Xenopus tropicalis: one gene and its partners. The protein of the gene in region 2 purifies or fractionates together with the protein of the main gene of each other region. This does not show direct contact. Links are inferred from orthologs where the notes say so. Each region holds a gene or a part of one and is shown on either strand. Other genes may lie near its edges.

Region 1 (4,446 bases), on a different chromosome or scaffold from region 2:
ATTCCATATAGCTCCTCTCTCATACCCCCACAGATACCCCAATACCCCCCCATACCTTTATATCTCCTCTCTCATACCCCCCACAGATACCCCAATACCCCCCCATACCTTTATATCTCCTCTCTCATACCCCCACAGATACCCCAATACCCCCCCATACCTTTATATCTCTCTCTCATACCCCCACAGATACCCCAGTACCCCCCTTACCTTTATATAGCCTCTCTCATGCCCCCAGCTACCCCAATAGCCCCCATACCTTTCCTATATATCCTCTCTCATGCCCCCAGCTACCCCAATAGCCCCCATACCTTCCTTTATATCCTTTCTCAAACACCCCAGTTACCCCCATACCTTTATATATCCTCTCTCATATCCTCAGCTACCCCAATAGCCCCCATACCTTTATATCTCTCTCATACACCCACAGCTACCCCAATAGCCCCCATACCTTTCCTTTACATCCCCTCTCATACCCCCCAGCTACCCCAATAGCCCCCATACCTTTATATCTCCTCTCTCATACCCCTACAGATACCCCAATAGCCGCCATACCTTTATATAGCCTCTCTCATACCCCCACAGATACCCCAATAGCCCCCATACCTTTATATAGCCTCTCTCATACTCCCACAGATACCCCAATAGCCCCCATAACCTTTATATCTCCTCTCTCATACACCCACAGCTACCCCAATAGCCCCAATACCTTTCCTTTATATCCTCTCTCATACCCTCAGCTACCCCAATACCCCCCATACCTTTCCTTTATATCATCTCTCATACCCTCAGCTACCCCAATAGCCCCAATACCTTTCCTTTATATCCTCTCTCATACCCCCAGTTACCCCCATACCCCCCCATACCTTTATATATGCTCTCTCATACACCCACAGCTACCCCAATACCCCCCATACCTTTCCTTTACATCCTCTCTCATACCCTCAGCTACCCCAATAGCCCCCATACCTTTCCTTTATATTCTCTCTCATACCCCCAGCTACCCCAATAGCCCCCATACCATGATATATCCTCCCTCATACCCCCACGGATAGCCCCCATACCAATATAGATACTCTTTTATACCCCCACAGCCAGACCAATAGCCCCCATACCTTTATATATCCTCTTTTTTTAACCCCACAGCCACACCAATAGCCCCCCATACCATTATATCCCAAACAGCCACGCCCCCTCAGAAAGGTCTCCCTATTGGCCACAATGTTTCCCCAAAAAATCTACAGCCCCACTACTGCCTGTACTGTTACACAATGCTCACACGTGCACAATAGGAGAACCCCATACCACATATAAATACATTATTCTGGAAAGGCTTCTGGTACAAATAGTAGTAAATAAGTAATAAATATTGCTAATTATGTCCTTTTCTTTGTTTACAAACACCTAGCCTGCATAGTGGGAGTGGCCATCTGCTAACTCAAGGGGCCCCATTCCAGTTCTTGCACCATGGCAACAGAAGAAAAGAAACCCGAAACTGAAGCTTCCAAGACGCAATCCACCCCATCCTCGTCCAATAATCAGAGCAAGGTTGGTATTCTTCTACATGTGGAGCGGCCAAGATGCTTCCAGTAAGGCTTTGGGTGTTACTTTTGTGTGAAATCCAGCAGTTATGGATCATTAATCCTGCTTATAAAGGGTAATGTTAAAGGGGAAATATATCCGCCTCTGGCTTTTTAAATATACCCTTAATATAAAGGGCCTCTTATAGGTGGGTAGTGTAGTAGGGTTATAGGATCCAAAGGGTTACATATTCTTTTCCTACTTAAATATACATCTTAGAAAATTAACTTTTAGTAAGAGGTCCCAAGAATTGGCCATTCTGTAACATACTAAAAGTTAAAGGGGATGTCAACCCAAGATAAAATATTGACTAAAGAAAATGTATTTTCAAGCAACTTCCCAATATCCATTCATTCCCCATTCTCACTGGGTTTATAGTTATGTGTAACTGTCACTGTGTCTGTCCCTTTCCCTTCCCTGCACTGCTGGTTCTGACTCCTGATACAACTCCCCAATACCCATTCATTCCTCATTCTCACTGGGTTTATAGTTATGTGTAACTGTCACTGTGTCTGTCCCTTTCCCTTCCCTGCACTGCTGGTTCTGACTCCTGATACAACTCCCCAATATCCATTCATTCCTCATTCTCACTGGGTTTATAGTTATGTGTAACTGTCACTGTGTCTGTCCCTTTCCCTTCCCTGCACTGCTGGTTCTGACTCCTGATACAACTCCCCAATATCCATTCATCCCTCATTCTCACTGGGTTTATAGTTATGTGTAACTGTCACTGTGTCTGTCCCTTTCCCTTCTCTGCACTGCTGGTTCTGACTCCTGATACAACTCCCCAATATCCATTCATCCCTCATTCTCACTGGGTTTAATAGTTATGTGTAACTGTCACTGTGTCTGTCCCTTTCCCTTCTCTGCACTGCTGGTTCTGACTCCTGATACAACTCCCCAATATCCATTCATTCCTCATTCTCACTGGGTTTATAGTTATGTGTAACTGTCACTGTGTCTGTCCCTTTCCCTTCCCTGCACTGCTGGTTCTGACTCCTGATACAACTCCCCAATACCCATTCATCCCTCATTCTCACTGGGTTTATAGTTATGTGTAACTGTCACTGTGTCTGTCCCTTTCCCTTCCCTGCACTGCTGGTTCTGACTCCTGATACAACTCCCCAATATCCATTCATTCCTCATTCTCACTGGGGTTTATAGTTATGTGTAACTGTCACTGTGTCTGTCCCTTTCCCTTCCCTGCACTGCTGGTTCTGACTCCTGATACAACTCCCCAATATCCATTCATCCCTCATTCTCACTGGGTTTATAGTTATGTGTAACTGTCACTGTGTCTGTCCCTTTCCCTTCTCTGCACTGCTGGTTCTGACTCCTGATACAACTCCCCAATATCCATTCATTCCTCATTCATATACTGAAATATGGCAGTAGATCCTCACCCAGGGTTGGGAGTTTTATGAATTTAAGTTGAATTGTTTCTGGTTTCTCATGAATACGTTCGACTCAACCAACTTTTGGGTACTTTCCAATACGCGGCTCTGATGTTTGTAGAGAGATGAAATATAGGGGGTGGGTGCTGAATGTGACAAATTTCAGGTTTGTGCAGCGGTTACATACAACATGGCTGCCTGCCCTGGGGGCTCCCTGTCACTGTAGGGGGCTGTTTTTTATTTTAAAACTATTGTTTCCCCCAACTCTCTGCCTCAATGTCTGCAAAATACATTTCTGAAATCCCCATTTTTCTCTTCTATTCATAGCCTGCACCAGTAAAGCCAAATTACACGCTAAAGTTCACCCTCGCCGGACACACCAAGGCCGTATCATCTGTAAAATTCAGCCCGAACGGGGAGTGGCTCGCCAGTTCATGTAAGTGACATTCCACCTATCGTTATGTCTTTGCCCTAAAGAAACTACAGTGTCACTTTTTTGTTCTTTTCAGCGGCCGACAAGTTAATCAAAATATGGGGGGCGTACGACGGCAAGTTTGAAAAAACCATATCCGGCCACAAGTTGGTAAGAACCTTTTGTTGTTATTGCTCGCGTCTAGCCGGTGTTGAATTCCTGTAGCACCATATATTTAAATTCCACCAGCGTCTGCTTCGTGTAACATTAAACCCATACTGTTTTGCACCTTATCCCCCCAGCGCCGTGCAGCAGAAGCCAATTAGAGTTTGCATTTGCCAGACACCTCCCCAGGGGCCTCCCTAATTTATAGACGGGCTTGGGGATTTCATGTGTTTTAATTTGGCACTGGTTAAGAAATATAAACCCCCTTAATCAAATCCGATTAGTGAAACTTTTATTTATTTATTCTTTTTATTTTTATATTCAGGGAATATCTGATGTCGCCTGGTCCTCTGACTCCAACCTCCTGGTTTCTGCTTCTGACGATAAAACTCTAAAAATCTGGGACGTGAGCTCGGTGAGGCCTGATTGACTTACCGTTGGGAAGAATATGTTTTTGTGTTTCTTCATTGAGGGGTAAAATGATAACACAGGATACATTCCCTATTTCTCTTACATCATGGGGGACACAGGAACAGCCTAATTGCCTCGTTAATCCAGTGGGCAAACGTGGCCTTGGTAGTAGGCAGAGCCTCTCTAGAGGCTAGGCCTAACCTCCTGTCCACTTAAAAAGCTGAGCCCTGTTGGCTAAGCAAAAGGGTTAAAGAAAAGAGGGAGGAGCAACAGTTATGACATCACTGCAGTGTCCTGCCTCCTGGTAGGAGGAGCCCTTTACCCCACTCTTCCTGTGTCCCCCTAACGACTATAGAGAAAAGGATTTAACGGTGTGTATATAAATCTTCCTTATTGAAGGTGAGTCCATATTACCCACTGCTTCCATCGGAGCTATCAGTGGTGAAACTAGCTATACAGCAGACCCAGCGGTCACGGGGGGCC
Region 2 (4,566 bases):
CTATCTTTCTAACACAGCTAACTAATCTCTATTTAGGGGTGCAAATAAGTAAATCTATGTTTCTGGTTACACCTTTAACTTTTTGTATGCTATAGAATGTCCTTTTCTAAGAAAGTTTTTAGTTACAATTTACATTTTTTTAGATTAGTCACCCACGACAAGGAAGATATGTCGCACGGCGACTAATCTCCCCATGTGTCACAGAACTATAATAAAGATGCTGATCTTCATGCCAACACACTTTACTGCTCCAATATGCCTGTCCTCCCATCCACTCCACTTAATGTGTCCCTTTTCACAGCTGTACAAAAACAAAAGGTAATAACTACATTACTATAAGGAAGCCTACAAAAAGCTCCAAATCTACATCTAATCTCTATGTAATGGAAAAAGAGGAGCACAGCCTTAAAAATGATTTCAATGCCTGAGTGCCAGTAATGCTTAGTTCACAGCACTCTGCAGGTTTTTTCAACAACACTAATAAGTGTATTTATCAATGGGAAAAGTACATTATTTGATAAATACGCTTCTAAAAATCCCAAAAGTAATGAATGGAAAGTGGGTGAATTTTTCTGTGGTAAACTTCTAATTTCACATTTTGATAAATCTGCCCCTAAAGTGTGTTTATTGGTTCAAAGACCTGATGCTTGTTATTAACTATATCCACTGTCCCTTGAGAAGTATCTATAATTACAGGAGATATTAAAGACCACCATCACAGTTAAAGGATGTGCTATGTGCTGCTCCCCTGCTGCTGTTCAACATTAAAGGACAAGGAAAGACAAAGTCACTTGGGGGTGCCAAAATGTTAGACACCCCCAAGTGACTTTAATCGCTTACCTTGTACCCCGGGCTGGTGCCCCTGTTAGGAGAAAACAGCATCAGCCCGGGGTACGTGGAGTGATGCGCTTCCTCCTTCCTGCTACTTTTAGCTGCGACTATGCGGTAGGCGCATGCGCGGTAGAGTGAAAAGTCGACTTCTTTGTTAAAGTTCAGCTTTTTCACTCTTCTGTGCATGTGCGCGCAAGCGATCAGGAAGGAGGAAGCGATGCAGCTACCCCGGGCTGGTGCTATTCTCTCCCAACAGGGGCACCAGACCGGGGTAAAAGGTAGGCGATTAAAGTCACTTGGAGGTGCCTAACATTTTGGCACCCCTAAGTGACTTTGCCTTTCCATGTCCTTTAAGACTAATGGCACAGAGGTGTTTGATCATTGGTGCCCTCAGAATAGCTGCAGTCCAATGGTCCATCCCCTCCTGGCAGAACTGAATGTAAAGCTGGCCATACACACACAGATGATATTGTACGAAACCTCATTCGATGCATGTATGGTGGATCAACGAAACGACCGATGGTCGCAGGAAAGTTTAGAATTGCTACGTGTATGGCTCCATTCTGAATGTACATAAAACGGTGACAGACCTTGCAGCCTGCCAGAAGACTCAGGAGAAAGTAATAGGACATAGGGCATTTTCGCCACTGTTACTCTCTGAAGGAGAACAGTCACAGTCAAAATACCCATCTCCACCTGTCACTGCTCTTAATCTCAAGCACCCTGTTTAACATACACATAGCAGATATAGGCGCTTCTGCTCTTAACTGTTTTGGTGCACTGGTCTGCCTGTCACTACTCTGTGCCCATCAACCATGGCACTTCTGCTGAAACTATCTAGCAGAAACCAGCGGATTAAAGCTAATAAAAAAAAACATAGTTCTAAGCAACCAATATGAATTTATTAAAATGTTTTTGGTGCTTTAAAAGTTATTTGTAAGTACAACTGAAGGCAGAATTTGCTTAACTGGTGGCTATGCCTTTTAAAAACAATGCTGAAAAGCCAGTCTCCTTCAGCAAGACAGGTCTGTCTATCTGCTGGATTATGTTATATTGTTTCAAAAGCCACAGCCACCTGGGCAGTGAATAGAAAAGGACAATAGCAATAATATCTACAAATAACTTAAAAACCATTACAAATTTGTTATGAATGCATATTACAAGGTTGCTTAGAATTATGTTTTATTTTATTAGGCAACATTTATTTTGGGTTGACATGTCTTTTAATAGACTTAGAAAACTGACCTGCTACACTGGCTCAGGAGTCAATATCAGCCAACAGAAAGAGACACACAGATATTGCATTAAATAGCACATACATTTAAAACAACTTGAAATGTTAATGTAAACTGGAAAGTATATTTTACATGGCATTATTAGGGAAAAAAACAATTTATATGAGGATATCCCCATTAAAACGAGCAGAGGTGCCTCAGGTTGGACAGATCCCATGACTTCCTTCTTTAGGTGATCACCTAGCCCTCAACGCCAAAGCCAAGTACTGCTGCACAAGTGATCAACAATGTGAGGCTTTTCAGAAACTGTTAAATTTCAGAGGTCAGCGGCCATTAAAGGCACCAAGGTCCTGCAACTACGAATGCTAGCGCTTACAGAGTTGTTAAACACAAATAAACACATAGAGACGGCTGGGGCAGCCGCCTGGGGCCCATAGATGTAGCAGGGAGGGGGGCAAGGCCGGCCCAATCACCCACAATTACAATCAAAATAGCAGCTAGTAATGTTACACAACATATCCCCCAGGACTCTTTAGCTGCCGCTGATTTTCTTTGCAGCAATGACTTACAAACAAACGCTCGACTTCCGGAAAAGGAGCAGTTTAAAGGTGATCCCGAAGTCTTAAAAAAAACATATTGAGTGCAAATGTGATGTCACAGCCACGTGACCAAGAAGTGGAAAAGAGAACATGATGTCACGAAGGGGCGTGTCTAGCTGCGGTTTACATCAAGGACCCGCCCACTATGAAACAACCTGAGAAAGCTGCTGTCAGAATGGAAATTGAGAGATATGCCACAGAGTGAGTGAAATGTTAACATACATTTATGAGGTTACCTGTGTAATTAAAATGGCGTTCCATATAGCGGCTGGAACTATCACCGGCATTAGCCGCTGATAATATGTACAGTCACTTCCGGGTCAGGGGGCACAATAGCCGGTTTCCGGGGGAGTTAAGCGAGAGTAATTTTGTCTTTGCAGGAGCACAATTGTGTAGGAAAGCGAAATGCAATTTTCTTACTTAATTTGTTGTTAAGATATGAATGTTTTGCTTTTATTTTCAGGGTAAGTACATGACACCATCTCTGGGCAGGTTGTATTGCGCGCTTGAATGGAAACTCACGTGTTTCTTGGTCAGTGTTTAATGCTTTAGGCTTTAGGACAGTAGTCTTCACAGTAAGGATGAAGTTCTGCAAAGGGGATGACCAGTCCAAAACTGTCATTTTGTGTAATGTGAGAAAATGTAATCCTACACAACTTTCCAATACATTTAAATTGAAAAAAAAGTTTTTTTAAATAATTGTTATCGAAATATGTATTTGCTACTCCTTTCTATTCTTTACACTCACTTCTGGTTTAAACTTTTGAGTTTGTATTAGGACTACCACTCTACAGAAAATTCCAATTTCACAAAAAAAAGTTACTACTATGGTCTTAGTCTGGACTCTTCCCCAATTCTCTCCCTAATCCTAGAGTGCTGGCATTCATTACATTAAAATTCATTGCCGACACATTTTGCTCATGGCAATGCATATAGTATTTATGCAACCTTTTTAACAGTTGATACATTCCATCTTATTCTTCTTAGTCTTCTTAGAAATGAAGCAACAAATGTAGCAAATTGTAACACTGTAGAGAGCCTGCATCTTGATTTTGAGGCACTACAGTAAAATACTATATAAAAAGATTTACATTTAAAATTAAAGGGGTGGTTCAGTTTTGAATTGAGTTTGGTTTTAGCAGCTATCTGGTTTCTAGAGTCCAAATTACCTTAGCAACCAGGGAGTGGTTTGAATGAGAGGCTGGTATATGAATAGGAGAGGACCTATTCAGTAATAATAACAAAATTGTAATCTCACAGGGCAATAGTTTTCTGAAAGCTACAAAAGGTTAGAAGAAAACCGCAAATAATTAAAAAAAAACCTATAAATATTGAAGACAAATTGAAAGGTTGCTTAGAATTGGCCATTCAATAACATACTAAAAGTTACCTTAAAGGTTAACCACCCCTTTAAATCTTACAAAAAGTTAAACAATCTAATTGTTGACGATGTGCGTGAAAACAAATTAATGGAAAAACGGTTTCTAAGGCAAACTACCCTTTTTAAACAGTAGTATAGAATTTTTTCTCAGTGTTTGATGCTGTCACTTTTAACTCATTGTAGTTGTAATATTCTGATTGAACACCCTTTTGTCAAACTACAGTGTGTCTGTATTAACTGGAAACAGTGTAAATGTTAACCCAGTTAAAAAAAATAAAATAAATAATTGTTGGAAGATGATGCTTATCCTACAAGACTGGATTTAGCACACTTGGACCCTGTACTAGTTGCTTGCCCGATGAAAAGTGTTAAGAACAGGGCTGGCCTGCACCAGTCCAAAGTACTTTCTGCATAAGCACTAAGACATTTATGTAAAACACAAGGCCCGGGGGCCAAATCCGGCCCACCTGGCTGTTTTATGTGGCCCTTGGTGAGTGTCTGACCATCCAGCCTGATCAAT
Region 3 (3,766 bases), on a different chromosome or scaffold from region 2:
TTATAAATGAATGCATTACTTAATGAATGTGTAATTGAAATAAAAAGTCTTTGCAGTAGATACTCTGTGATGATGTCCAACATCCCCATTACAGCAAACCAACCACCGCTGTACAGACCTCACTTTTTGCATGGGGACATTATTGTGTTGAAACAGGGCCAAAAGGGCCTTCCCAGACTATTGCCACAAAGTAGGAAGCACAGACTTGTCAAGGTATTTTCTGCTTAAACACAGTTGGCATTACACATTCTGGCAGGTAGCATTCTCTTGACATCTGCCAGACCCAGCTATCAGTCAACCAGATGGTAAAGGTTAAGCCTCGCTCCAGAAAACACATTTCCACTTCTCCAGAATTTAAGGAAGGCACCATTTTATTCTATCTCAGCTGCTGCTTGGCATTACACATGGTGGAGTCATGCTTGTGTACAAATGCTTGCCCAAAAATCTCTCATGCTCATCACTATTAGTTTTTGTAGCTTCCATAGACATTTTGGAACTTGGCAGAGCCTGTTCCAGTTGAAGATATATTATTTTTAAAAAAGCATATCTGGATATACATGTATAAATGCGTTGCTTGATATGTGGGGTTGAGTGTTGTATTTGTTAGAGATGTAACAGCATTTCAGTATATAGTGCTCATTTTCCCTTTTGGTGTATGGGAAGTTGTCATTAGATGCACTGCTAAAAGGGTGGCAACTATACATTAACAGGACAAATTACTTGTGCTGAGTGCATGTAACCTTTAAATACCTTATCCCCACTTTTGGTACAGGTGATTAAAAAGAAAAAAAGCTTTAAAAAAAGGGAATCAAAATGTTTAAGAGAATCCTAAATAATTTAAGACAAGGGTCATTACAGGTGCAGTTATTCCATCAGCAGCCACATGTCATGCAATCTGCTAAATTCTGTCCTGCAACCAAATCTCCCTGTTGCTTCAGAAATGTCATATGTATGGCCAGCTTAATGTGCATTCTGTGTTTCGGGTGGTACCTTATAACAGACTTGGCATAGTGATCTATCATGTACAAGCTTCTTTAACTGTTTTCACAGGGCCAATGATAGATGTGTTTATGTGTACGACCGTGAGCAGAATGTTCGAACGCTCAAGGTATAGTTTTTTGGGGGTTTTATCTATTTGAGCCCTCTTCCTAATGCTTCCATTTATTTATTTATTTTAGTTTCATGCTTCCATCATGACCATCCAGTCTCTCTGTTCCTCCTCTCTTTTCTCTTATGACTTTTTATATATTATCTATATCAGGTCTAAGTCATTAGAATACAGTGGCTGAAAAGGTTTGGCTGTTGTAACGTAAAATATAAAGACCATAAACTATAAAGGGCCCACTCTGAAACGTATCCATTAGTATAGCGGGTTAGTGATGATATGCCACTCGTCGTATCCTTTTATTGTGTTTATTTTACCTTTATGCATACAGCCACTCAATAACCTCTATATATTGTTACTCTTATTACCTTTTCTGTTTTTTCATCTATGCTGACTCAAGCTCTCTTAATTTAAAATCTTCCATGTCTCACTCTTCAATCTGTTTAGATTGTTTCCCATGAGGACGATGTGAATGCTGTCTCCTTTGCTGATGACAGTTGCCATATAGTCTACTCAGGGGGCGATGATGCGTTATGTAAAGTGTGGGACCGCCGAACCATGCGAGAAGATGATCCCAAACCAGTGGGGATATTAGCTGGACATCAAGATGGCATCACTTTCATACATAGCAAGGTAAGCTCTATTCTGGCTGTCATAGCCTTTTTTCCACACATCATACATTTTGTTTTGTAATAAACCACTGTTTTTCTTCAGGGGGATGCTCGTTACTTACTATCCAACTCAAAAGATCAGAGTATAAAGCTTTGGGATATCAGGAGATTTTCAGGGCCAGAAGGACTTGAGGCCTCACGAAGGGCAGTTACTCAGCAGAACTGGGACTACCGCTGGCAGCAGGTTCCCAAGAGAGGTGAAAACTTGTTCTAACCAAGATGCTTGGATATTAAAGATATGTATACTACAGATGCTACTGACATGCACTTGCCAATAACAGAAGGCACAGGGTGCAGTGGGTGTTTCTCTGTTGTCTCTGTTTGACAAGGGCTTTAGGGTTTTTTTATATATTGTTATTGGCCCATTAAGAAGCCCTACTCTGTGTATTAGGGCAGTGGCACATGGGGAGATTAGTCGCCCACGATAAATCTTCACAGTTGTGGGTGACTAATCTCCCCGACATGCCATCCCACCAGCGACAATGTATATCGCCGGTTGAATGGTACACACAACTTCCTTGCTAGGCAACTTTGGGCGACCGAAGTAATGCGTATACCATCCCACCCGCAATTTACATTCTTGTCGGTGGGATGGTATGTCAGGAAGATTAGTTGCCCGCAATAGTGAAGATTTATCGTGAGCGGCTAATCTCCCTATGTGCCACTGCCCTTAAACTGATACTATTTTTTATGCCACCAGATACAGGCAGCACATCCTACAAATGTTATTTCTTTTTAATGAATTCCTTCCTTTGCTTTACAAAGCCAGAGTAAAGGTGGCCTGTAGCAGTTTGCCTGTAGCAGTTGTGCTGGAATCTAAACACAGTTGCCCTCCAGTTACGTGCAGTGTATTAGCAGCCACAGGGCATTAGTGTGGGGTATTTTCCCATAGAGTCCCCTCAGTAGAAAATATTGCTCAATTCTGGTTTTCTGTTACATAACTTTTTGAGGTATGTTTTTTTCTAGCTCTCAGGAAGAAACGTTTGCCAGGAGACACTTCCCTAATGACATACCGGGGGCATGGTGTCCTACATACACTGATTCGTTGTCGCTTCTCTCCTGCATACACCACTGGCCAGCAGTTTGTGTACAGTGGCTGTTCCACAGGTCGAGTTGTAGGTGAGTGCAAGGATTTAAATAATGCACATGATTTGCAACTGTTTTATGTATGATGCAACTTGAAATGTGTTTTTTTTTTTTCTCTTTCTCAGTTTATGATTTGTTAACGGGTCAGATAGTGAAGAAACTGACAAATCACAAAGCATGCGTGAGAGATGTTAGCTGGCATCCATGTGAGAACAAGCTTGTCAGCAGCTCTGTGAGTAACATAGGGAAGATAATGGGAGATATAAACTTTACATTAGGTTTATTAAAGCTTAGATGTATAGCAAAAGAGAGACTTCCTCTGATTAATCCTGTATACTATCTGCCTGATTGTTAAGAACACTGCCCTTAATTGTTAATAGTTTAATGCTGACTATGTTATAAACTTGATGTGAAACCTGGGGTTATACCCAATGACTTACGGATACAGATGCAAGTCCCGACTCTTGCACATTACAATCAGTGCCCCTAAACTGGAATCTAAATCTCTAGTACACCAGAACTTGCTAGTGACTTCAGAAGAAATCCAAATATGGTATTACCACTGTGCAAATCTAAGTATTACATCCCATTTTAACCACAGACAGTTGGTTTGCCTGGAATTGGACTACATTTTTTTTGCTGGTTATAAACCTTGGAAGCTTCACCATTTTGCGCTTCTTTAAGTCTAATATAGAGTGGAAGACATTTGAGCTTCTTGAACTTTCAAAGCTTTAAACAGAAGACAAATTGCCCCAACTAGTATTCTATAAATACCTGCAGCAAATGGTCAGGGCAGATGCAGGTTTTCAGGGAGGACACTTTAAGTCAACACTTTCTCTGGTATGCCAAGACTTCAGGCTCACCTCTCGCTATCTGTCTCTGTGGGGAAAAATTGGTTTGTTAG
Region 4 (4,369 bases), about 21 Mb from region 2:
CCTTTTTATGGCTCATCCCGCTGTCCTGGATAGTTCCATGAATGTCCCGCATTGCGGGACATTCATGGAACTATCCAGCACAGCAGGATGCGCTGTTAGGAGCCGGCCGTTCCGACTTCTCGGCGTTGCTCGTTATGCGGCTCCTGACACAGCGCGACAGGCCCTTTTATAAGGTTGCGCACCGTGCGTACGTGTGATGTCATTACGCACGGGGTGCAACCTTATAAAAGGGCCTGGCACCGCCGCATAAGGAGAGAAGTCGTAGACGAAGACAGAGCGCCTATGGGGTACTGTGTATGGGGGGCTACTATGTATAGGGGGCACTGTGTATGGGGGGGCTACTGTGTATAGGGGGCACTGTGTATGGGGGGGTACTGTGTATGGGGGGGCTGCTGTGTATGGGGGGCTGCTGTGTACGGGGGCACTCTTTATGGGGGGTTACTGTGTATGGGGGGGCTACTGTGTATAGGGGGCACTGTTTATGGGGGGCTACTGTGTATGGAGGGACTGTGTATGAGGGAGCTACTGTGTACGGGGGACACCTGTGTATGGGGAAGCAAAACTGCTACATAGTTATAACTCACTTATAACTGATTGCCTTCTCTCTATATTTGTATTTTAATGTTGGAGTTGCTATATTGTTTTCCTTAGGTAGTACAGTATGAGGGTATAGCACATTTGCGTCTGATCCCACCATTTCATCTATATAAAAGGAGTATTTCTTTTTAAAATGGGGTGTGGTAATTGGGGCGTGGCAACAAAAATGGGCGGGGTCAAAATTGCCTCCAAGTCTTTTTGTCCCTCTTTTCATTTTTCAAATGTTGGGAGGTATGCTTAGGGTAGCAAACCAGTAAAAAATGACATTTAAAACAAGCATTACGAAGGTGGGCTTTTACTTCCAGAAGAGATTTGCACCCTAGCCCATCCAGGCTATCCTGCTATATCTACGTTTTCCAGAACACAACACCAATTGAGTTTTCCTCTTTCCTATTAATCGCAACCCTATCCACTGCCAATTTTGTAGGCTAAGCTGTTAAACCCCGAGGTCTGCGGCACTGAATACATTTCGTTCTGATAGTGGAAGATAGCAATTCTAACGATCACGAAGCTCCCGCATCCCTTCGGCTCAAGCTTTTGAAAACTCTATCTTCTACATTTCCCTAATGAATGCTGCTCCACTGCTTGAGAACGGGAAGGTTCCTACTTAAAACAAATGTTATCGGTATAATAGGTTCATACTTCCTACAGAATAACTACCTAAAATTATTACAATTCACTCCGCACATTAGGAAAAAAAAACACGCTACTACTTTACGCCATGCCAAAATTAAACATGGCCGCGAAACTTTCGGCCTCCCCGCCTCCTTTTACGTAACCAGGTTATTTTCCTCTGATTGGTCAGCCTTGTCCTAGCGTTTGGCGCTAGCCCTTGCGTAAGCGAAGGCGACGGCGGCGGCGTGCCTGTCTGTAACTTTGGCGGGGGATGTTGATGCTGCGTCACTGGTAGTCTTTCTTCTTCTTGTGAGTGTTTGGCGCGGGAAGCTGCAGCAGGACCGGCACAAGCGCGGAACACTGGGTTTTTAGTCACCGCGAGGCCGGCGGCCCTTGCATCTGCACAGGAGTAGAGAAGATGGCGAATAAAGAGAGTAAGTGGGCAGAAAGCTGCTTTATGAGCACGTTTTGGGTTTCTAAAGGGACGGTACTGGGGATGCAGGCATGCTATCCGGGTGCTACCGATTATGACACAGTTTTATATTAAGAAGCTGTGGCCGCTTTGTTTACTGCACCGCTTGTGGTGTGTATGGGAGGCATACCGGATTCTCTTAGGCCTTATCCTACCGCGTAGGCTTGCTGGCTACGGTCCCTATTGCTGGCCTGTAAGGCTCTGGGCCCTCAATTAGAAGAGGGAGTTTATAGTTTGGCACTGTAAGTCGCTACATTTAGTTCCACTACAAGCCAGTTGCCAGGCAGTATTAAAAAATGTAAGATGGGGGATCGACAAAGTGATGAGAATTTTAAGTTAAAACACATTTAGAAATGTAGGTATTGCCTTGTGTAAAGTTGGACTGATCTTTCTTGGGAAACAGAACCAGAGCTTTCTTACTTGCACCACAATAAATGTATGGCATGTGTAACTTTGGTCTGACAGGCCAGACGGCATCAGATACGCTTGTCTGGTGTCTGGTGAAACTGGTAGAATTCTTCACAGGCTGCACACACCTATTCCATCTTTAAACATTTCCTTACATTAAATCCTCCTGTTCTTTTGAGTGATTTACTAATGAGTAAGGTATCGGGCAAGTTTTTTTTTTGTATGGAATCATTAGAAATGTGTTCCTTGTGCCTGAAGTTGTAGAAGTTTCTGCGCCTACAGGGGCAAGTGTGCCTCATAAGCAGGCAGATAGGTTTTTGAGGTGCTGTGGCTCTTCCTTGAGGGCCCATAACTGTTAAACATGCACAGGGCTTGGGCTAGTGTCAGATGATCAGCATCTCAAAATAGAGAACACAGTACAGTTATCCAAAATGCTTGGTACCAAGGGTATTCTGGATAAAGGATCTTTAAGTATTTTGGATCTCCATACTTTGTCTACTAAAACAATCAGTAAAATATTAAATAATCCCAATAGGATTGTCTTGCATCCAATAAGGAATAATTATATTATTATTATGCTCTCTTCACCTCTTGTATTGGTTATTTATTGCTTTATATGTTACTCTGTATGTCCAATGTATGAAACCCACTTATTGTACAGTGCTGCAGAATATGTTGGCGCTTTATAAATAAGTGTTAATAATAATAGATCCCATACCTGTACAGGGTTCTCCTATGGTTACAGTACAGGTAGATAAATGCCAGCTGATACTGATGAATGTTGTGATAAGTGTTCCAATAATCACTTTATCTTTTTGTTAAAGGGATAATGAACTTGCGGTGTGTCTTGCTGGACACTGGCTATATGGGCACTGACTGATGTTATGGTGCATCCTATAGATCTGGGTCTGCCCAGCAAACCAATGCTGCTTTCTTCCAACCATGCTAGTTAATCACCGGTGCCACCTACTCCACTTGGTGTAGCTGTTCCGTCTGTGTATTCAGAGAGGCTTCAGATGGGGTTTTTTTGCCTTCCTCTGGATCAGCTAGTAGTTTGGCAGGTTATATATAGGCATTATGGTTGAACGTGATGGACGTATGTCTTTTTTCAACCCAACTTACTATACTATGCTGTGTAGTTCTTATTTCTGGTAGAGCACAGTGGGGAAAATATGTCACTCAAATGATGTTGGATTAAGTTTACTTAATAAATTATCTGATGTTTACATTGAAGCAACTCTGGTTCAACAACAATACATTGGCTGCCTAGTTATACATGCACACCTTATGCAGCATGTAAATGTTTACAAGCAATCAGTGCTGAGAGGTTTGTTAACAGCCAAGTTTTTGTACGTCTGTTTGACCTGACTAAGCAATTTAATGGTTTTTACTGAATTCAAACAGTAATGCATTCTATTCTGAAACATTTTATAATTTTTTTTTCTCTCTAGTGTTTGAAGATACAGTGGAAGAACGTGTCATCAATGAAGAGTATAAGATATGGAAAAAAAATACCCCATTTCTGTATGACCTGGTTATGACCCATGCACTTGAATGGCCAAGTCTAACAGTTCAGTGGCTCCCGGATGTGACTAGGTGATTTTTTATTTTTAAATTCATTTAATAGCAAATTTTAGTTGTTTTACATGATATTTAAAGCATGGTTAACACCTATTGCATTTTAAATACAACATAAGTAAATTGAAAATAAAAAATGATTGATGAACTTTGTATAAAATACTTGTGAAAAAAAACTTTAGTTCCTAGTTGTTGCTCTGTGCTGCAACCAAATACAATTGTAGAAATGCAAAAAATAGGAAAAAAACTTCAGCAGGTTTACTGCAAACCAGTTATTTTGGGTTGTGGTAACACGACATGTTTCGGGTCAATACCCTTTATCCTGCTGAAGCTTTTTTCCTATTTTTTTGGATTTCAACATTATTAAATTACCTAAGGAGCTGTGGGTAGTATCTAAGATTAAAAAATCTATATCATACTTAACAGATTGCCGCTGCCTTTAAATTTTATTTTCTAGATCAGTGCTTATTTTCAGCAAAGTGGGCCAAATATCTAACATTAAATTTTTAGGGGCTTAATTGTATTAACATTTTTCATCTTGTCTATGTGTACTGTGTATACTGTATACAAAGCGCAACAAGAAGCAAATTACATTTGCACATATTTATTAAGTGAACAGTATCCGTACCACAATACTTATATCTTAATTCCAGTACTAAATTTGCTACAAAATAAGCAGACTTGTCAAATGAAAAGGAG
Region 5 (3,766 bases), on a different chromosome or scaffold from region 2:
TTCCGTGATTGGTGCTCTAAGTTTGGCTCTGGAGAATCTGGGAGGTTTGTTGGCCCACAGAAAGGCAGTCTGTGCTTTATCTTGAGAGGCAAAAAATTTGGGTGGAATGGAAATAGGTGAGTTGTGGAAAATATAGAGAAATTTAGGAAGGAATATCATTTTTAACAGATTGATTCTACCCCAGATGGATAAGGGGAGATTGGCCCACACCAGCAGCTTCTCTTTCATGGCTTTAAGGATGGGGTCTAAGTTGTTGGGGATGAAGTCGCTCAGCTCTTTTCTTATTTGGATACCCAGGTATTTAAATGTGTCAACCCACTGCAAGGGAGTAGGAGGGAAGATATTTGGATCAATATTTGAGTCTATGGGGAATACGCTGGATTTTTCCCAATTGATTCGCAGGCCGGAGAAGTGCCCAAAGTTTTGGACTATGCCTAGGACTGTCTGTAGTGAGGCACCAGGGGAGTCCAAATACAGTAAAACATCATCAGCATATAAAGATACGCGTTCCTCCACAGCCCCCAGTTTGAGACCTGTTATGGCTGCAGAGTGTCGGATCAGAATGGCAAGGGGCTCTATTGCTAGGGCAAATAGGAGGGGCGACAGTGGGCAACCTTGCCGGGTACCTCTAGCTAGAGAGAACTCTGGGGATAGGTGTCTATTTACCATAACCTTTGCTGTTGGTGCTTCATATAGCATTCCCACCCATTTAACAAACTGCTCACCCAGGCCAAACCTCTCAAGGAGTTTCAGGAGATAAGGCCATTCGACGGAGTCGAAGGCTTTGGCTGCGTCAAGTGAGACTACTACACGGGAACCTTTGTTGGTGTGGTCGGCATGGATATTAGTGAACAGCCTACAGATGTTTATATTGGTGGATCTGTTTGGCATAAAGCCTGTTTGGTCAGGCTCAATTAGTTCCTCAACTACTAGTTTCAGTCTGTTAGAGAGGATTTTTGCAAAGAATCCAATGGGTCCTTACCATCTTTGGGGATGACCACAATAAGGGCCGTGTTAAAGGAGCGAGGTAGTTTATTATTTTCTGTTGCGTCAAGCAAAGTTTTGTGGAGCCAGGGGGAGATAAGTTCTGCAGATGTCTTATACCAGTCAGCAGGGAATCCATCTGGGCCTGGTGTTTTATTGGGTTGAAGCGAGGTTATTGCCTCCTGTACCTCCACTAGTGTGATGGGACTGTTGAGTTGGGCCCTAAGTAGTGGGGATAATCGGGGGATGGGGATGGTATCCATGTAGTTTGATAGCTGCAGTGGGGTATAGTTGGCTTCAGTGGTGTAAAGCTGTTTGTAGTATTGTGCAAAGATATTAGTTATGTGGGATACCTCAGTAATTATGTCCTCATTCATGGATGTGATCTTAGTGATGGTGTTCGAAGGGGCTTGGGCTAGCATTTGTTATTTTAATCTTTCTTTAACAAGCCGTCATTGAAGCAAAAGGTGTCTGTACAGAATAAAGCAGGGGTTTCAATAGTACTATACACAATAGTTTGTTTTTGGTTAGTAAAATCTTTAGAAAAACAATCTCACACTAAACTGAACTATATTATATATATATATATTTTAACACTTAAGTGGCATAATTACATACAATCCAGCATGGAAGCAGCTAAAGGCAAATTCACTGCCAACCTTGGTCTCCTGGGGACACTTCAGTAGAGTGCTGCCCCACCACACTATATTACCAGTGTTTTGCTGTGCTACAATATTTCGCTAAACTGGCCAGGGCAAGCAAATAGTTATGATTATGGGTGTGTGGCACTCTACTGATAGTTCTCCCTTGCCAGATTTACTGTGGACTGGAGGGGATGGGGCTTTTGGAATACCTTCCAAATCTAACCCCCCATAACTTTAACTGTCATTTTACCCTATTCTATTAAACTTTGCTTAGTACAGGGTTACAGAACTACATATTAGCTAATGTTATTGCCTTATTATCAGTCCTAAGTATCGGAGCTGTACAACTTCTCTAATCCATTTACAGATGATTTCTTTGGATTGTACTTTTAAGAGCTGAATATCCCTGTTTAGGATACCCACTTGAGTATATGTCAAGTGACCTATATAGCTCCCATGCATGTCAGTATACTGGTGCTTGTAATGGACTTAATGAGATGATGTATTACCACTGAAGGAGCGAGACCTCTGACGTAAGGCTTCCTTTTCTTCACCTTGGAAGGGGTCTGCTTGTCAAGGGCATTATGTGCACCAGTGATCTGGTTCACTTGCCTGTAAAAACCATCTTGGAAAAACAAAAACAAAAAAACACTCCAATGTTAACCCAGTTTCTGTATTTCAAGCATAGTAAGCCTGCATTCACATTCATAAGCATTTTCCCAGTTGTAAACTGAAGCTTAGTTTAAGGCACTGAGCAATTCCAAGTGTTGTTATGCATTGGAATTAATAGGCAAGGAAATATATTTCGCACAAACTCCCACAGATTTATAGTATGCTATATAAGAGATACAGATTTTAAACATACCTTTCTTATTGCATCTAGTGTCCCACACCATGATGTTTCCATCTCTTCCTCCAGTACTGAAAACAGCTAGAAGAAAATAACAGAGCATGTAACAATCAAGGCAATGGGATTGGGTGACCTTACACCCTAAAGAGAATACAATATCAACAGTGGTACAAAGACAGTGGTTTCAATACAAACACTGGTAAAGCAGAAAGAAAAGTGGTACATTACCTTTCTCAAATTTTGAGAAGGCAACAGACTTCAGGCTGCACTGGTGTCCTTTACACTCTCCAATCAGATCCCCAGCCTTCACGTCCCACAGCTTTGCAGTTTGGTCCCCTGAAGCTGTAACCTAAACATGAGGGAGGGTGAGGATATTAGAGAATTGCTATTACTGTTCCTGTTATGCATGCTCTATACAAACAGCCCAGGAAGAGTAGGGCTGGTAATTGCATAACATACTGCACAGAATGTACCGCCCACTGCATGTGTGTGAGATTGCAATAAATTGCACTGTGATTTGCAGTTAAACACAGCTTTATTTAGCCAATATAGTTTTAAGAGTCTACCTTCAATCGAAGATCAATTGCAAATTGCCTTTTCATCATGCTAAAAGTTAACAACCCCTTCTTTGTCAACATATATTTTTCAACATATGTTTGGCTACAATCCTTATCATTCTGAGGCCTCCTTGGCGATGAGGAATAGAACTGCCCACTTTCAAACTAAGCAGGTGAAAATGCCCAACATCTTAGCTTTGGACACATGAGAAAGACAGTAGATCTTTAGATATTCTGCGTTATACATCTTTTGGGCCCTTTAATGATACTTTACAGAAGGAACAAAAATCCACAAATATACAGCACCAGAAATAATGCAGGCACAAAGTCTACCAGCTCTAATCTAGCAGATTTATATTTAAGAGTTATCAGTAACCATGCAAAGCAGCCAGTTATGAAAAAGACCAAGTGTAATTAGACAAAACAAATGGCAGACATGGGGAGAGATGCAGTTCAACTTACTAGCTTGTGTTCCCCAGGCACCCAGGCAATGTCAAAAACAGCATTAGTGTGCGCCATGAATTCTAGGAATGATAAATGGAACATTAAGTATTAATTAACAATGAATACATGAACTATTACATGCACCATTGGGCACAATATTATAGGGCTGATTGTGCAGAAGCAGAGTTCTTACCTTTCACAACAAGCCTTTGTACATCCCGGCACTCTGTATCATACAGCCTGACTATGCCTTCTTCGTTGGCAACAGCAAGTACATGAGACATGTC
Region 6 (4,211 bases), on a different chromosome or scaffold from region 2:
CCATGGAATACCCATTCAATGCACACACATATTTATCCATACAATGCCCATACTAAACCCAAACATACAGCCCCCGCACCCTTCCCATATTATACCCAAAGACTACAGCCCCATACACTGCTCATATTGTAAGCTCTTTTGGGCAGGGCTCTCTTCACCTCTTGTATCGGTTATTGGTTGCTTTATATGTTACTCTGTATGTCCCATGTATGAAACCCACTTATTGTACAGCGCTGCGGGATATGTTGGCGCTTTATAAATAAATGTTAATAATAATAATACTATTATACCCAGTCGTAAGGCCCATACATACAAACTACCCATTCGGGACAAACACATATCTAGCTGTAAAGTTTGGGCACACTGCCCATATTATACCCATACATGACTGCCCATATTATACCCATACACTGCCCATAATATACCCATACACTGCCCATATTATACCCATACACTGCCCATATTATACCCATACACTGCCCATAATATACCCATACACTGCCCATAATATACCCATACACTGCCCATAGGAGATCTAAATATACAGCCACAACACACTGCCTATATTGTCCCCAAAATAAAGCACCCCCCCACAGCCCAAAAACACACTCCCCATATTATTTTAAGACACCAAAACCCCACTGACCCTTTATTAGCGCCCCTCTTGGTAGCGCCATGGGTGAGCTGAGGGCACAGACTCTTCCTATACTCATGGTTACAGTTACTTTCTCTCCATGGAAGTCCTTGTCAACTTCACTATCTGAAAAAATATTTCAAAACACTTGATTTTCCCTTGAATCTTTACAAATATATCAGTACATGCTGATCATGTGATCAAACCTCATGGGTCAGAGCTTCTCACCCCTCCCCTCCCTGTATTTGGTAGCTCTCCTATCCCTTCTGTGTATGTATTTCAGACAAACTGCTACTTGTACCCAAGGTGCGCCCCGTCCATGATTTATTTATAACAATAAAGTGTTTAATATACTCGTTAAGCCTACGGGACGAATAGTATCATGGGACAGATTGCACCTTTATTATAACATTAACCCCCGATCTCTTACAATCAGTACAAATAATATCCCGGCTGGACCCCCCGCCCGGCCTGTTCCCCGCTAGTTCCGCCGCTGGCCGGTTGCTAGGAGATTGTCTCTCACCAGCGGAACGCACAATTACCTCTTCCTTCTCCTGACAGCTCTCTCGGCGCTCGGCTAGTTAGCCTTCTCCATGCCCCGCCCTCTGATTGGCTGACTTTTGTTCCTTGTTGGACGCCCAATCGATGCGCTCAGAAGGGATCCGTTTTTGTTTTCGGTGGTCGCTTGCTTCGGTCTGGCGGCCGCCATTGCCCGGTTCGCTGCTATACTCTGGCTTCGTCCCACCGGATTATCTTTCATTTATTTCCTTCGTAGCCCTCGGCCGTGCTTGTTCAGTCCGGGGCACGGTAGTTTTTCTCACACTCTGGGACCCAGACGCGGCCCTGACAGGCCTCATTCCCACATACGGGCTGGAGCTCAGGCCTTATCCGCCCGAGAGGCGATTGCCCAGCTGGCTTTATAGGTGCGTATTTAGCCCGGGCTCATGTAGCTCTGGGCACAGGGGAGGGAACAGGTGGCATCAGCGCCATGTTACCCACAAGCAACTATATGTCTCTTTATATATATATATATATATATGTGTGTGTGTGTGGCTCTCATATGGGAGCCTTTCTCTGCCTTCATAATATTGTGTATACATTGCTATACTGTACTTATATTATTATTACTACTACATAGGAATTCAGCATTAACCTAAAGTATGTGTGTAATGTGTCTGCTACATTCTAATACTTAGCTTTGTGAATATATAATACACACAGACCATACCCTGGAACCTATATACTTATTATTATTAATTATATTATTATTATTATTATTAATTATATATATAAAGCGCCAACATATTCCGCAGCGCTGTACAATAAGTGGGTTCATACATTGGACATACAGAGTAACATATAAAGCAATCAATAACCGATACAGGAGGGGAAGAGAGCCCTGCCCAAAAGAGCTTACAATCTACAAGGAGTGACATATAAAGCAACCAATAACTGATACAAGAGGTGAAGAGAGGTGATGTGTAACTGGGGATTTAAGATGTAATTTGTATTCTATGATTTTAGAAGTAAGGGTATAATGTACCCCCTACTGTAAATAATAAGGATATTAGAAGCTACTGAGGGGTTCTGTGCCCATATAAAGGCACAAGGCTGCAGGCTGAGTTATACAGGGAACTCTGAGTATCACTCATGTATTATAAGGGATAATGTACCCCCTACTGTAAATGATAAGGATATTAGCAGTCACTGAGGGGTTCTGTGCCCATATAAAGGCATAAGGCTGCAGGCTGAGTTATACAGGGAACTCTGAGTATCACTCATGTATTATAAGGGATAATGTACCCCCTACTGTAAATGATAAGGATATTAGCAGTCACTGAGGGGTTCTGTGCCCATATAAAGGCACAAGGCTGCAGGCTGAGTTATACAGGGAACTCTGAGTATCACTCATGTATTATAAGGGATAATGTACCCCCTACTGTAAATGATAAGGATATTAGCAGTCACTGAGGGGTTCTGTGCCCATATAAAGGCACAAGGCTGCAGGCTGAGTTATACAGGGAACTCTGAGTATCACTCATGTATTATAAGGGATAATGTACCCCCTACTGTAAATGATAAGGATATTAGCAGTCACTGAGGGGTTCTGTGCCCATATAAAGGCACAAGGCTGCAGGCTGAGTTATACAGGGAACTCTGAGTATCACTCATGTATTATAAGGGATAATGTACCCCCTACTGTAAATGATAAGGATATTAGCAGTCACTGAGGGGTTCTGTGCCCATATAAAGGCACAAGGCTGCAGGCTGAGTTATACAGGTAAGGGAAAAGGGGAGAATGGTTATTCTCTATATGTAACATCTTTATAAACATACAAATATGAATGTGTATAATTTAGGGGTGCACCGAATCTGGGATTCAGGGTTCGGACGAATCCTAAAATAGTGGATTTGGTGCATCCCTAGTATATTTTCATTAAAATACGATCCTTTGCGTCCATATAGGGCTACATACAGACGGGCACTTATTAATGCCTTTAATGTATATAAATGGGTCCATTGCATTAGTCATAGATGTGTTATTTAAACAGCACTTGCCCCTGAGCCCCTTTTCCCCCATATTAAAAATAATCCCACCCATGTTGGGTGCTTGTGCTTGAATCCAACCCACCTTGAAGCCATAAGCTGTTAGTATTGGGACCTTACATATTGTGTAGGATGAGCTATCTCCCTATTAAAGTTATCGTAGGTGATCGTTCAAGTGTAGGTATGGGACCTATTATCTGTAATGCTCGGGACCTGGGGATTTCTGCAAAAGGGACCTTTCCATAATTTGCCTCTCCATACCTTAAGTCTAGTAAGTCATTTAAATGTTAATCCCAACAGGATTGCTTTGCCTCCAATAAGGATTCATTATATCTTAGTTAGGATTAAGTACAAGGTCTTATTATTACAAAGGAAAAGGAAATCATTTTTAAAGACTAGAATTATTGAATTAAAATGGAGTCTATGGGAGATGGCCTTCCCGTAATTCAGAGCTTTCTGGATAATGGATCCTATACCTGTATTAAAAAGAATTCATTGGAACCCAACTCCAAGCAGCATGGATCCTGAAGTACAGTTACAAAAAACTGACTGTATGCTAAAATATATAGCTATCAATATATAGAAATAATAGCCAGAGGGGCCATAGTGTCATCTTACTATGGAAAATATTTTCTTTGTGACACTGGGCAGCATGGGTAATAGTAGAAGTTGCAGTGATGTCTCATTTGCCGGAAAATCACAGCCAAGGTAATGCTCACTTGAACCCCATTTTGGTACCCAAACCCCTTGGGTTTACCTATGCCTTCCTGGTATTCCTCTTACAGCTTATTATAAAAAAAAAGCATGCTATAATTGATGCAATATCCAGGGCACAATTGCCTAAGCATCCATGATTATTTTTGGGGGACATTTGTACTTTTACCTTATACAAAAGTAAACCCAATCAGCTGCCAGGAGCTTGGATACACAGTCTTGGTTATTATAAGAAGACTTTTGACCAACTCTCAAAGCGACTTTTAAAAAATAAATATACATATACTAGCAAGAAATGACAAGACTTCCATCACTC
Region 7 (4,216 bases), on a different chromosome or scaffold from region 2:
ACAATCACTAGAATAACTATAAGACAGTGTATGTTCTTTACCGTGGCTTCTGTAGGAGACCACTGAAGATCCTCAACAGATTTAGTATGGCCCGTGAATGGTCTCTGGTCAACATGCCACGTTCCCCCTTCTCTTGGATCCCACAGATGGATGTTCTTATTGCAGTCACCAGTAACCAAGCGCCCTAAAGAGGTAGTGAAAGGGAAGTAGAAGACTAAGTGAATCAAACTATTGATGTTTAACCTTTAAAAGCAGCTCATGTACCATTAGGCATTTTTACCAAGCCTTTATAATCAATAACAACTCATGGGAATTTGAGGCTTAAACTTTGGATAACTTTGATATGGTGTACCTGCTGTTTTTGGAGACCAATCCATTGCAAACCCTTCGGTCATGTGCCCGGAGAAAGAAAACACTGGTTTGATTTTGGCTTGTTCCTCCTTCAGAAAAGCAGCGAGCACCTGAGAGTCTGACACAGCCGACAGTTGCTTCCTTAGATCATAAATATCCACTTGCCCTTTCTCTGACCAGACAGCAGCCACGGGTACTTCCCCCATTGTAGATACCTAAAAGCAGAGACAAACCAATGATAATATAACAAACAGAAGTAGTTAAAAGCTCACATTTGCTTGTATACCACATATATGGATCTACTCGTATATAAATATATATTAGATTATCACTTTTTTAACATTTTGTTTCCCTTTAATGTTGCAGAGCATTCCAGGTCTGACATTTACAAATAAAACTACTAACAACAGTATTGTATACCACAGCAGAGGTCGCAATAGGGCAGCACTTCCTAGTTTAGTGTATACAGGTATAGGATCTGCTATCAGGAAACCTGTAATCCAAAAAGCTCCAATTTGCAGGAAGGCAATCTCCCATAGACTTGTAAGCAAATTATTTACATTTTTAAAAATTATTTCCTTTTTTCCCCTGTAATAAAACAGTAGCTTGTACTTGATCCCAACTAAGATATAATTACCCCTTATTGGGGGCAGAACAGCCCTATTGGGTTTAATGGTTAAATGATTCCCTTTTCTCTGTAATAATAAAACAGTACCTGTACTTGATCCCAACTAAGATATAATTACCCCTTATTGGGGGCAGAACAGCCCTATTGGGTTTATTTCATGGTTAAATGATTCCCTTTTCTCTGTAATAATAAAACAGTACCTGTACTTGATCCCAACTAAGATATAATTACCCCTTATTGGGGGCAGAACAGCCCTATTGGGTTTATTTAATGGTTAAATGATTTACTGAGATCCAAATTACAGAAAACCTCAGGTCCTGAGCATTCTGGATAACAGGTCCCATACCTGTATATCTTTTCCTAAACATGGCAAAGTTATAAAGACAAAAACAAATATGAGAACACAACCCGACTTACGCGAATTCTATTAATGCCACCATAATGAGGCACCATAGCGAGCTCTAACTGAGGCTTCTTTTCTTCCTCGTCCTCTTCTTCGCCACTGTCACTGCTTTCAGAATCGGAATCATCTTTCTTTTCCTTGCTTGTACGGTGCAAATTGTACATTTTCATTACCAGCATCCTATAAGAAAGAGAGGAAAAAGAGTTACACTTCCTTATACAGGCTGGGTGGATTCTCAGGTACTGTAGAACTGACAGTAAGTTCTGGTGAATAAAAGATACAAAGACAAGACAACTTGACCAAAGTCAGAAGACATCAGTTCTGTTCTGCAGACCTTGGCTTGAGTAATTGCTTTACAGCTGCTAAAATGAACAGCTGCCTACTAAGTGTCAGTCAGATATTGACAGTCAGTCAGTCTGATACTGCATGAACTACAGGCCAAAGAAGTGTTGGTCAAAGGCCAGATTATAGTAAAATGACAATGTCAAAAAGCCATTTGGCAAACTGGAGCCATAAAAATCACTTGGAAGTCTAGTGGGCCCCCAGCTGGGCAGCCTTATGGGGTTCATTTCAAATGTTTGATATTATATGTTACTGCAGATATGTTATTGCATTCTTTTTTTTCCCCCAATAAATACACGACCATATATAATTGATCAATTTGTTAAACGAGGTTTTCTTCATCTACTTTTGAGACTTAGAAAATCAGATGATGCTTATGTACCCCTGTACATAATCTATTTCTAGTACCTGTTGCCTTGAGCAGAGTCGGCCTGAGTACCAGCGCAGAGGTACATAGTCAGCGGGTAATCTGTGCGATTTTCCCCCAGGGTATCACGGATGACATCAAAACTTAAACATGGTGCACCTATAACACAATAAAAAAAGAAACCATTTAATTTTCATACAAAGAAGCAAAAAACTACAAGACAACCGTGTAGTATAGTTTTGTAGTTGACATTGCTGGGGTCCCAGGTTTGATTCCAGCCAGGGCATTATCTGCATGTTCCCCCTGTGCCCCCCTCCCCCAACACATACCGGCAAGTTAAGTCATTCCTAATAACTGTAGATATAACCTATGGAAAGTGCTGTGGAACACGTTGGAATTATTTATATACTTATAAACATATATTAAAGATATCATTATAAAATGACCAGGCTGGTAAGCTTGCATGGTAACTTGCCCTTTAAAGAGCCCGGGACTGTGCGCTGAACTTCCCGCCGCTCCCCTCCCTGCCCGACCGCTCCCCTATAAGGGATCCCAACACCGGGGAGCAGAAGGGAGCGTTACCTGTCTGTGCCTGGTGATACAGTACATACGCCTCCTGGTCCATCACCAGCTCTTCTCCCTCCTTAAGAGGCTCCATCCCGGGCAAATAGACCCGCTTGGGCCCTTTGTCCTTCTCATCGTCCTCCTCTTCTTCCATAATATCACCCTCGTCATCTTCATCCTCGCTGCCCGACTCTTCCATACCTTCATCTTCCTCCTCATCCTCTGCGGGATTTCTCCATGTGGTTTCCCCAGTGCCTGACATCTTGGAATCGGGCGACGTCACTTCCTCTGGCTTCGTCTGCCATGTGTTCTAACCTACTTCCGCTGACGCCTTGCCATTACTATGGAGGCGATGTGCAGCGGTCTCTACAGAATGTAGATGTAAAAATCTACCCATAAACCCAATAATAAAATGCAACAAGACACTCCAGACGTTAGCTAATTAGTTACTTGCTATTGTTAGAACTAAACGCAGAATGGTTTGCAATTAAGGCGGCCGTTATATATTAAAGACCAGCAGCAATACTTCTTGTATATGTATGTATATCTTTATTTATAAAGCGCTACTTATGTACCCAGCGCTGTACAGTAGGTTATTCATTAATACAGACAGGAGGTTAAAGATAATGGATAAATACAAAGTACAACAATAAATACAAATAAATACAAGGTGCAGTTGCAATAAGAGTCAGAAACACAAGATGAAGGAGGTCCCTGCCCCGTAGAGCTTACAATCTATATGGGAGGGGAACTTACAGATACAAATAGGCAAATATAAGTGCTGTAGGTCACAGTGGGTGACACTACAATATAAGTGCCAGTTCCCAGATCAGGTGCTGGGTGAGTGCTCCAAAAGGGAGTCTTTAAGTTTAGTTTTAAAAAGACTGAGGGAGGATTCTCTCCGGAGGAAATCAGGGAGGGCATTCCCAATGTAAGGGGCAGCAGGGCAGAAAGGTTTAAGGCGGAAAACAGCTGTAGTAGTTGGGGGCGCAACCAAACGGTTGCTCTGCGAGGAACGAAGGAGTCGGCCAGGAACGTGCGGAGACACCAGGGAAGAGATGTAGTGAGGGGCAGAGGAATGGAGGGCTTTGAAGGTTAAGAGAAGGAGTTTGTAAACTATTCTTTGTTTAACAGGAAGCCACAATAAGGCCTTTAGCAGGGGAAGGGCCTGAACTCTCCTGGGTGAGAGGAGGAGAATTCTGGCAGCGGTGTTTAATATAGACTGTAGGGGAGAAAGATGGGAGTTAGGGAGGCTGGTTAGCAGCAGGTTACAGTAGTCAAGTTGGGATAGCCTTATGGGGGAGTGGGGTGATAATCTGTAAATCAGCAAAGGGAGTGGAGAGGTCCCCAGTGCTCCTTATGAGAGCAAAATGTAAAAATTTTATTGTGGGGGTACTGTCTATGGGGGGCACTGTGTATGGGGGTACTGTCTATGGGGGCTACTGTGTATGGGGGCTACTGTGTAAGGGGGCTAATGTGAATGGGGGCAATTGGGGGCACTTACTATGGGGGCATTGTGTAAGGGGGTACTTTCTATGGGGGCACTGTGTATGGGGGCTAC

Evidence for each region.
Region 1: the proteins of cul4a (region 2) and wdr5 purify together in Homo sapiens (affinity purification with western blotting; 4 studies listed by BioGRID and IntAct, with this or other methods). This does not show direct contact. The link is inferred for Xenopus tropicalis from reciprocal best matches to the Homo sapiens genes CUL4A and WDR5.
Region 3: the proteins of cul4a (region 2) and dcaf11 purify together in Homo sapiens (affinity purification with mass spectrometry; 13 studies listed by BioGRID and IntAct, counting the BioPlex papers as one, with this or other methods). This does not show direct contact. The link is inferred for Xenopus tropicalis from reciprocal best matches to the Homo sapiens genes CUL4A and DCAF11.
Region 4: the proteins of cul4a (region 2) and rbbp7 purify together in Homo sapiens (affinity purification with western blotting; 4 studies listed by BioGRID). This does not show direct contact. The link is inferred for Xenopus tropicalis from reciprocal best matches to the Homo sapiens genes CUL4A and RBBP7.
Region 5: the proteins of cul4a (region 2) and dtl purify together in Homo sapiens (affinity purification with western blotting; 15 studies listed by BioGRID and IntAct, with this or other methods). This does not show direct contact. The link is inferred for Xenopus tropicalis from reciprocal best matches to the Homo sapiens genes CUL4A and DTL.
Region 6: the proteins of cul4a (region 2) and ambra1 purify together in Homo sapiens (affinity purification with mass spectrometry; 11 studies listed by BioGRID and IntAct, with this or other methods). This does not show direct contact. The link is inferred for Xenopus tropicalis from reciprocal best matches to the Homo sapiens genes CUL4A and AMBRA1.
Region 7: the proteins of cul4a (region 2) and grwd1 purify together in Homo sapiens (affinity purification with western blotting; 4 studies listed by BioGRID, with this or other methods). This does not show direct contact. The link is inferred for Xenopus tropicalis from reciprocal best matches to the Homo sapiens genes CUL4A and GRWD1.

What each region holds. Positions count from the first base shown.
Region 1 is NC_030684.2:8,199,343-8,203,788, reverse strand, and holds the start of wdr5 (WD repeat-containing protein 5), read left to right. Parts: upstream 1-1,424; 5' UTR 1,425-1,467; coding exon 1,468-1,548; intron 1,549-3,302; coding exon 3,303-3,411; intron 3,412-3,484; coding exon 3,485-3,558; intron 3,559-3,877; coding exon 3,878-3,967; intron 3,968-4,446.
Region 2 is NC_030678.2:116,032,364-116,036,929, forward strand, and holds the start of cul4a (cullin-4A), read right to left. Parts: upstream 2,921-4,566; 5' UTR 2,902-2,920; intron 2,867-2,901; exon of another isoform or gene 2,771-2,866; intron 2,744-2,770; exon of another isoform or gene 2,636-2,743; intron 1-2,635. UniProt on the Homo sapiens protein: Core component of multiple cullin-RING-based E3 ubiquitin-protein ligase complexes which mediate the ubiquitination of target proteins. As a scaffold protein may contribute to catalysis through positioning of the substrate and the ubiquitin-conjugating enzyme.
Region 3 is NC_030677.2:139,463,192-139,466,957, reverse strand, and holds part of dcaf11 (DDB1- and CUL4-associated factor 11), read left to right. Parts: intron 1-1,050; coding exon 1,051-1,108; intron 1,109-1,552; coding exon 1,553-1,738; intron 1,739-1,819; coding exon 1,820-1,973; intron 1,974-2,742; coding exon 2,743-2,895; intron 2,896-2,987; coding exon 2,988-3,094; intron 3,095-3,766. UniProt on the Homo sapiens protein: May function as a substrate receptor for CUL4-DDB1 E3 ubiquitin-protein ligase complex.
Region 4 is NC_030678.2:94,690,804-94,695,172, reverse strand, and holds the start of rbbp7 (histone-binding protein RBBP7), read left to right. Parts: upstream 1-1,535; 5' UTR 1,536-1,630; coding exon 1,631-1,646; intron 1,647-3,543; coding exon 3,544-3,688; intron 3,689-4,369. UniProt on the Homo sapiens protein: Core histone-binding subunit that may target chromatin remodeling factors, histone acetyltransferases and histone deacetylases to their histone substrates in a manner that is regulated by nucleosomal DNA.
Region 5 is NC_030681.2:14,742,543-14,746,308, forward strand, and holds part of dtl (denticleless protein homolog), read right to left. Parts: coding exon 3,673-3,766; intron 3,560-3,672; coding exon 3,498-3,559; intron 2,828-3,497; coding exon 2,707-2,827; intron 2,560-2,706; coding exon 2,494-2,559; intron 2,254-2,493; coding exon 2,138-2,253; intron 1-2,137. UniProt on the Homo sapiens protein: Substrate-specific adapter of a DCX (DDB1-CUL4-X-box) E3 ubiquitin-protein ligase complex required for cell cycle control, DNA damage response and translesion DNA synthesis.
Region 6 is NC_030680.2:13,029,201-13,033,411, forward strand, and holds the start of ambra1 (activating molecule in BECN1-regulated autophagy protein 1), read left to right. Parts: upstream 1-1,320; 5' UTR 1,321-1,557; intron 1,558-4,211. UniProt on the Homo sapiens protein: Substrate-recognition component of a DCX (DDB1-CUL4-X-box) E3 ubiquitin-protein ligase complex involved in cell cycle control and autophagy.
Region 7 is NC_030683.2:114,831,694-114,835,909, forward strand, and holds the start of grwd1 (glutamate-rich WD repeat-containing protein 1), read right to left. Parts: upstream 2,938-4,216; 5' UTR 2,918-2,937; coding exon 2,674-2,917; intron 2,251-2,673; coding exon 2,133-2,250; intron 1,563-2,132; coding exon 1,397-1,562; intron 567-1,396; coding exon 353-566; intron 185-352; coding exon 42-184; intron 1-41. UniProt on the Homo sapiens protein: Histone binding-protein that regulates chromatin dynamics and minichromosome maintenance (MCM) loading at replication origins, possibly by promoting chromatin openness.